Neurospora crassa OR74A: one gene and its partner. The protein of the gene in region 1 interacts with the protein of each later gene in a pairwise test. Links are inferred from orthologs where the notes say so. Each region holds a gene or a part of one and is shown in the gene's direction. Other genes may lie near its edges.

Region 1 (4,038 bases):
ACGGAAGAGCAGCCACAGTTGGCGCTCGGCGGTCTCGACGAAGTTGCGGAACTCTTCGTATTGGATCTTGCCGTCGCCGCTGGTGTCCACGACCTTGATGATATCCTTGAGCATGTGGTCGGCATTTTGCATGGCTACAAGAAAGACGGGCGCTTTGGTGTCAGTAGAGATGGCAAGTCGTGAACATGCGCATGACGAATCGCATTGGCGTTGGCAGGCATTGGCTCACGGTGATCGATCCTTCTCAACCCCTTTTGCAGCCCCTTGAAGTCGAGCTCTCCGTGGCGCTGGGGATCCAGCTTCGTCCACAATTCCTCGACGCGCTTGTCCCGCTGGTTCTGCGATTCGTCCATGCCGGCTTGGAGCTCTGCGAGCACATGGGAAACCTTCATTCCCGCTGTCGGGTTCTCATCATCCAACGCGGCATGCGCAGATGGTCGGCGTTGGTGTTCGGATATTTGCGCACGGCGGGGGAGGGGTCGGCGCGGAGAGGGAGCCAGACGACGGGGAGACGGGGAGCGTTCAATGCAAGTTCGGAGCACGACAAGAATGAATGGTCGTCGATACGGTAAAGTTCAGGTAAGGTACGGCGCAGTGCAATGCAAGTGAATGTGCAGTGCAGTGTAAAGGTTAGGTTAGGTTAGAGGTATCTTTCAGTTCTTTCCGTTCCTATGGTATTATGTATGCGGTGCTATGTGCAGTGCTGGCTCGCAGCTGAGGCAAGGTGGTTCAGTAGTGTGGTACACACAAGACCTACCATAGGCTCGGAAGGCAGATAGTCACTGCAAGGTCGGGACCTCGAGTGGTCAGGAATGGCAGAAATGAGACCGCCCGTCTAAACTAGCGGATCTAGAACCGTTTGCTGTAAGCGATTGGGTATGACGTAGGACAGGGGCTAGAGCAATAGGTAGGTAACTTGGATTTGGAAAATAAGATGAAATAGAGATCAAAATACGTTACGAAGCGACTGTTTGTATGAGCGGGACCTTCAAGGGGAAAATTAAAGTTACTTTCATGAAAAGAGATTGAGCCAAGCCACTCACGAATGGGATGGGACGAGTGGGTGGTGTATCGCTGTCCATCTACCCGTCACCCTATCTCCACGGGTATCCATTCTCCTCAAATAGTGCCTTTTGCACATTGCACCTGGCACCCTCCACAATTTTCGACCACGAATCTCGGTCCCTTTTTGAGACTCGAGACTTTGTTGACATGTAGCAAACAATGAAAGGGAAATCGGGGGTGGTGCGGGTGGCCGAAGTGATGAACGTGATATTCACGAAAAAAGCGGATCTGTATCGGAAGTGGTTTCAGTGGCCCCGTCCGGTGTGAGCGTGACACGGATTGTTATCTTGGCTTTTGTGTTGGGTCGGGGTAACACAACCCCAACATCGACAGCATTGAATTGAAGCTCGAGATAACCCAGGTTACCTATCTTGACCCAACCACCCGAAACATATTCAAGTCAGGAGAGTAGAGGTATGTAACTCAGTCGAGTTGTACCTCCAACCGTCCGGCATCCGGCAGCATCTTGACTCCACCCATCTGCAATTCACTTCCTGCAAACAAGCAACAAAGCTCTGATCAGTATCGGAGCAGGGTCATTTCTTTCGCCGTCTCCCTGATTGGCCAGCCCTGCCATAACATGTGGGCCTCCTAGGCCCTTCTAAAGTTTAAACCTCGGGTCGAGCAACCTACCTAGGGTCGGGTATTTTATCGCCAGCCTTATCAGCTTATCTTGGGCCCCGGGGTGTCCATCCGATCGCAAGCCATCACGTAATGTTTCTTTCCCGTTCAACATCAACCAACATCAAGTCGGAGCAGTGAGCTGAAGGCTTTCCGAGGTCTTGGATAGCGGCGCGTCGCAACAGGGTTTGAGACCTCCTCCATTACATAGGATTCCAACTCCACCGATCGTCAAAACGCGCGACCCAGAACATCTCCTACAGGCCAAGCGGACGACCATGTCTGCAGCGCCTTGGGAAGGACACAGCTAGACACCCGACAGCAGTTCGAGGCACCGAGACACACACGGTTACCATGGCGGCCAACTACTGGGAATCTACTCAGCGCAAACACTGGCTGTTTACCAAAGATGAGCTTGCCGCTATGCGCGCAAAGCTAGAGGCTGAAGAACCCAACCTGGTGGCCTCGTTTCCTCTCCCGCAACTGCGCCATCTGAACATCTACTTCAACCAACGTTCGTCGTATCTCTCCACGTCCCCTACCCCGTCCACCCGTCCGTCTGTTCGATGAAGAGAGTCGCCAACATACTTCTGTTTTACTCTAGAAATCAACCGTCTCGGTAAGCGCATGGGGCTACGACAGCAAGCCTTGGCCACCGCCCAAGTCTACATCAAGCGCTTCTACACCAAAGTCGAGATCCGGCGCACCAATCCACACCACGTTCTCGTGACCGCCCTATATCTGGCCTGCAAGATGGAGGAATGTCCCCAGCATATTCGGCTTATGGCCAACGAGGCCCGCGGCTTTTGGCCTACAGACTTCCAATCCCAGACAGAAGTGGCAAGGATAGGAGAATGCGAGTTCTACCTTATCTCAGAAATGAGCTCACATCTCATTGTCCATTCACCCTACCGTACCCTTACCAGCTTACAAGGGGAGCTTGGGCTGGCACAAGAGGACGTCAACCTTGCCTGGTCCGTCATCAACGACCATTACATGACCGATCTGCCGCTGCTCCACCCACCACATGTGATAGCCTTGACAGCCATTCTCTTGGCTCTGGTGTTGCGTCAGGATCCCAGCGGTCGTCTCCCTGGAACAGCCGCGTCGGCTTCGGGACTGGTAGCCGCTTCGGCAGCGTTGGCTCAGGCACAGGCGCAAGCACAGGCACGCGCTGCCATGATGGCGGGGGGTGGCCAGACTGTGCCAGGTCTCACCCCCCAGTCTTCTTCTGGCTTGCAGGCCATGCTTCCACCCCAGTCACCAGCCGGAGAAGGTCCTGCCGAAGGGAACAAAAACCCACGTATGGCAAAGGTTCACCGATTTGCTGCATGGCTGTCTGACAGTAATATTGATATTGAGGCCATGGTGGACTGCACGCAGGAGTTGATCTCCTTCTATGAATGCCATGAGCAGTACAATGACAAGAACACTCGGGAGCAGATCAATAGGTTTGTCAAAGCTCGCGGGCTGGACAAGTAAAGTATTGGTTCTGAGATCATGGATCGAATATCTCTTATTTGATGAATGCCTGGTGAGTGGTTAGACAACGGCCATGCGACCAAACGGAAAACGCTTCTTATTATCAGACTTGGACTAGTATGGCCCCTAATCCCGTGTTGTATTTTTTTTCTTCTGTGGGGGCACTGTCAATTATTGGATCATGGGCTCTCAAGCTGATAGGCATACGCATCAGTTCAAGGGCAATAGTGACATTTTAATCATAAGCATACAAGTAATGTCGATCGAAGCTTTACGTTCAAACAAGCGGACGAACTAGTGTAATGGCCCAAAGAAGGATGTCCCTCACCATAGAAATGACTAAACAGACTCTTACCTCGCCCTGGCTTTTCCATCAAAAATCACCTCTCAACCGCAGCCGATTGCGTCAACGGCAGCCCCTTCTCCTTCGTTATGCTCTCCAATGTAGGCAAAGGCGCCCCCTCGCCATTAAGCCCCCAAGCCGTCGGGCCCTGGTCGAACGCCGTCGTCCTCCTCATATCTCTCCTATGCTTACCTACACCCTTAAACTCACCCGCGCGATGCAATACAGCTCTATTATCCCAAATCACCAAATCACCCGGCCGCTCCCACCTCACACTCGCCACAAAGCTCTTGTTAGCCACATGCTCATTCAAAAACTTGATTATCCCCTCCGACCCCGGCACCGTCTTCCCCTCCCCATCCTCCAACCGCCACAAATAAGCACCCACACATAAATTCATCCTCCCACTCTCCACATGCTCTTGCACAACCTTGTGTCTCGCTATAGGACCCTCCTCCGGGTTCACGTCTTTAAAGTACTCAGGCGCCCCCAGCTTCCGACTATGAGCAGCATTATACACCCCCGTC
Region 2 (4,320 bases), on another chromosome or scaffold:
TAATAATAAGAGTAAGGTTAGAAACAATATATTTAAAATTAGTTTAAAAGTATTAATATAAATTATAAGATAAATAATCGACAGTACTAACTATTATAAAAATTATAAGAGTTTTAATTATTACTATAATCCTAATATAAAATATATAAATACTAAAAGTAGATAAGGTATTTTAAATACGCCTAGCAACGCCGTTAATATATAAATATAAATCTATAATTTACAAAAAGAAATCGGATTTGCCAAGGGCGACAATATATATAATAATAATTAAAATTATATATATTATAAGCGAAATATAATTACTATAACGAACTTATAGTCCCTACGTTTTCTTATAAGCGCAGGTATACTATATTAAACCTGTAAGAAACAAATATAATTTAGGCGTATATTTAAGTAAATTATTAATATATTATTTAATAATTAATATAATCTATTATATATTATACAAATCTATAATATTATATAATTAGTCCCCCTATAGAACGGAAGAAGCACTAAACTTTATAAAAAATAAGAATAGGTTAATATATTTAAGGAAAAATATTAATTCCCAATAAAAGCTCTTTATATTATATAAATTACTTTTATTACTAAAATATATTGTAATACTATTATAATAGAAAATTTCGTATATATAATTATTATATAGCGTATTAACGAATTACCTAATATAGGATTCCGATAGCTAGTTATTACTTCGAATTATCTTAACCCAACTACAAATAAAAGGTTTTAATATCCCCCTAGAATATAAATATACTTAATACTTTTAAATAAAATAAGCGAAGTATTAATCCTAATTAGTAACGCTTAAATTACTTTAATCCTATAGTAGTAGGCTATATTTAATTAGGTTCAGGAAGGTTGGAGGGCCGCGGTAAAGGGTCGGAATTAAAACCCCGGGGTTTAAATACATACAAATCGAATATATTATTATAATTAGAATATTCGGGAGAATACTAAATTTAAACAAGAGGAAGGGTAAATTAAATACAAATATAAAAAGGTTATTAAATAAAATTAGAACGGCCGTTTCCTAGAACGAATAGTAAATTATATCGAATAAATTAAGCGTCGTAGGTCTATATACGTTACTCTAATCGGAATTATAGTAAATAAAAACAAATAAATTACGTATTACGACTTTAGGGGTTTCGCTCTAATTAGAATTACGGAGAATAAAAACAAATATATTACGTATTACGACTTTAGGGGTTTCGTTCTAGTAAAAGTAAATAATTAGAATTAAGGTGTATCTTAACTCTAACTAGAGCAGAGTTCAATTGCAATAGTTGGGCCCCACAGCGGCTGACGGCCGAAATACTCAAAATTGGCTCAGACCTGCTACCGCAGAAACGGGTGGGGTGGGGTGGTTTTGGAGGTTAGTGGGTCTGACTGAGACTACTGCTGTACCTGAGGTCCCCACTGCCCTTCCTGGCGCGCGCCTGACCCAACTGAACCCAAACAACCAACCCAGGGCAACCTTATTTCCCCTTCCATGTCCACGTTTGACCCTTCCACCATCCGTCCTCATTCCGACATCCACGCCCGACCCTTCCACCGCCTGCGAACATCTACCGTACACCATCTCCCATAAAGTCTGAACCGCCTCTCCCATACCGCCTACGATCGCCACTCCCATCTTCACACTGTTCTAGACTTGTTAGATTTATCGGCGCAGAGACTGCTTCAGTGCATCTCTGCTCTCCATCACGGCTTCTCACGGGCGACAGCTGCCTGACCAACAAGACCCAACAGGCGGCGAATCCCCCAATCCCCTGCGCAAGACGGTCACTATTGGCTCTGTACTTTTCAACCGCGCCCATACGACCCAGCGACAACCTTCGCCACATCCTCATTATCTAGTCCAACAGTCCTCCGTTTCTTCAACCACAGCCCAGTCGGATCTATCTTCGGCACTCAGAGAAGCCATGGACGGCAGGAAACACCCAAGTTCTTTCCAGCAGCTTGAAAAGCTGGGAGAGGGTACTTATGCTACTGTAAGAGATCTCTCCTTGGCCCAGAACTGTCCCTCGGTGAACAGGGAGAAGTATTTGTAGGGTGCAAATGGCTGACACTACGTCCTCAGGTCTTCAAAGGCCGCAACCGACAGACGGGCGAGCTTGTAGCTCTCAAGGAGATTCACCTTGACTCGGAAGAGGGGACACCGAGCACGGCAATCCGCGAGATCTCGCTCATGAAAGAACTGAAGCACGAGAACATTGTTGCTCTACACGATGTTATTCACACCGAGAACAAGCTTATGTTGGTGTTTGAGTACATGGATGGCGATCTTAAAAAGTTTATGGACACCAACGGCGAGAGGGGAGCCCTCAAGCCACATGTCATCAAGTCCTTCATGCATCAGTTGCTCAAGGGTATTGACTTCTGCCACAAGAACAGGGTCCTACATCGAGACCTGAAGCCGCAGAACCTCCTTATCAACAGCAAGGGCGCTCTGAAGCTGGGTGATTTCGGTTTGGCGAGAGCATTCGGTATTCCAGTCAACACCTTTTCGAATGAGGTCGTCACTCTTTGGTATCGAGCTCCCGACGTGCTTCTTGGAAGTAGAACCTACAACACCAGCATCGACATTTGGTCCGCGGGATGTATCATGGCTGAGATGTTCACCGGCAGGCCTTTGTTTCCCGGCACCACTAACGAGGATCAGATTGTTCGCATTTTTAGGATAATGGGCACGCCGACGGAACGTACATGGCCTGGCCTCACCTCGTTCCCCGAGTACAAGCCTAACTGGCAAATGTATGCGACACAGAGCCTGTCATCCATCTTACCTCAGATTGACCGCGACGGCATCGACTTGCTTCAGCGGATGCTACAGTTGCGGCCCGAATTGCGAATCTCGGCTCACGATGCGCTTCAACACCACTGGTTCAACGACCTGGTCCACCAACAGCATCATCACCAAGCGCAGCAGTCAATGATGCAACAACCGCCGATGATGCAGCAACAGCCAATGATGCAGCAACATAGAGGCTACGGACAGCCGCAACCCAACTACGAGGGCTACTAGACAGAGTACCTTCCAAAAACCGGAAGGCAGACACCGCCGGTTTTGGGGTTTCCTCCACCAGTTTTGTGGCATCGACCGATGCCAGTAGTGTCAGGATCTCCTCCACCAGGATTCAAGAAGATTTGGGAGCAACTGATGCCAGTAAGAGAGGGCTACTACACCGAAGAGCAGTTTCTAGGAGAGCGAACAATGCCAGGGTATCCTCCACCAGGGAGATATCCTCAACCGATACCCGGACATCCTCCAGCATGGAGAAATTATCCATCAATACCCGGACATCCTCCAGCATGGAAATATTCTCAACCAATGCCCGGGCATCCTCTACGTGGGGAACATCCGCAACCGATGTCATGGTATCCTTCAAACCAACAGGTTCAAATGGGGCATTTATCGAGAGAAAATGGGTTGGTTAACCGTGGCATGGGTTCGACTACAGATCTGTCAATGGCGTGGAAAGGAAATTTCAAGAGTGGCAATTCTAAATTGGACATGTCACGGCGGTCACTGCCCGTGGACCCCAGTCTCAACCCGTTTCAACATGATAATGGACAGCGAAATATAATGGTGCCACACAGGCCCCCAATACAAACAGGTGTAATGGGTGATGGACACCCAAATGCGATGCCGCCGCGATTTCAGTTGCTTCAGTCATCTTTCATGCCTCCGGTCCCCCCTCCTCCACCGGCCTTATCGAGGTTACCGGCGTCACATGAGCCTCGACATAAACAGATTGAATTTCCACGAAGTTTCCAATATTAATTCATGATGTGAATGGTCCCGGACCTAACGCTGGAAAGAGAAGTTCATCTGTTTTCAGTTTGAGAAGCTGCCGCCTGGTTCTCGATCATTCCGGACAAGAACATACGCCGATGTTGCACGTTCCTCAAGCTTTACTCGCGACTGATCACACACGGCGGAAGAGCACAATAAATAAGTAGATGGTAATCTTTGTTATCATGTTTACTTGGGATGGTCATTATCTACAAAACGGGGGCATAGCTGGAGCCTTGAACGAAGATGACGGGAACAGGGTAGCGCACGCCAGAGAAAGGCTTTTGTGCCGTACTTATGCATTTGCCTTTCCTTTAATTAGTAGTTACGATTAGCAGCGAAAGTTTCCATATATGTTGAATTAAAGCGAACATTGGTGATAGTCCTCATTATTCTCATTATTCCCCTATCTGTTTACTAGAGAGTTTAGGGTGTTCTCTCAGTTGGGTTGAATTGTATATTTGCAATTCGAGATAGCACCGTTATACATGAGTTGTGAGAACTGTTGG

The links.
Region 2: the proteins of NCU01563 (region 1) and mdk-1 interact in a two-hybrid assay, tested with the Saccharomyces cerevisiae proteins (2 studies listed by BioGRID). The link is inferred for Neurospora crassa OR74A from reciprocal best matches to the Saccharomyces cerevisiae genes SSN8 and PHO85.

The regions. Positions count from the first base shown.
Region 1 is NC_026502.1:3,075,673-3,079,710, forward strand, and holds NCU01563 (RNA polymerase II holoenzyme cyclin-like subunit), read left to right. Parts: upstream 1-1,392; 5' UTR 1,393-1,479; intron 1,480-1,539; exon of another isoform or gene 1,540-1,599; 5' UTR 1,600-2,040; coding exon 2,041-2,200; intron 2,201-2,290; coding exon 2,291-3,168; 3' UTR 3,169-3,529; downstream 3,530-4,038. Other genes in the region: NCU01564 (calcium dependent mitochondrial carrier protein), read right to left, coding at 1-134, 230-392; NCU01562 (2,4-dichlorophenoxyacetate alpha-ketoglutarate dioxygenase), read right to left, coding at 3,549-4,038. UniProt on the Saccharomyces cerevisiae protein: Component of the SRB8-11 complex. The SRB8-11 complex is a regulatory module of the Mediator complex which is itself involved in regulation of basal and activated RNA polymerase II-dependent transcription.
Region 2 is NC_026503.1:4,280,527-4,284,846, forward strand, and holds mdk-1 (cyclin-dependent protein kinase), read left to right. Parts: upstream 1-1,475; 5' UTR 1,476-1,937; coding exon 1,938-2,006; intron 2,007-2,095; coding exon 2,096-3,040; 3' UTR 3,041-4,251; downstream 4,252-4,320.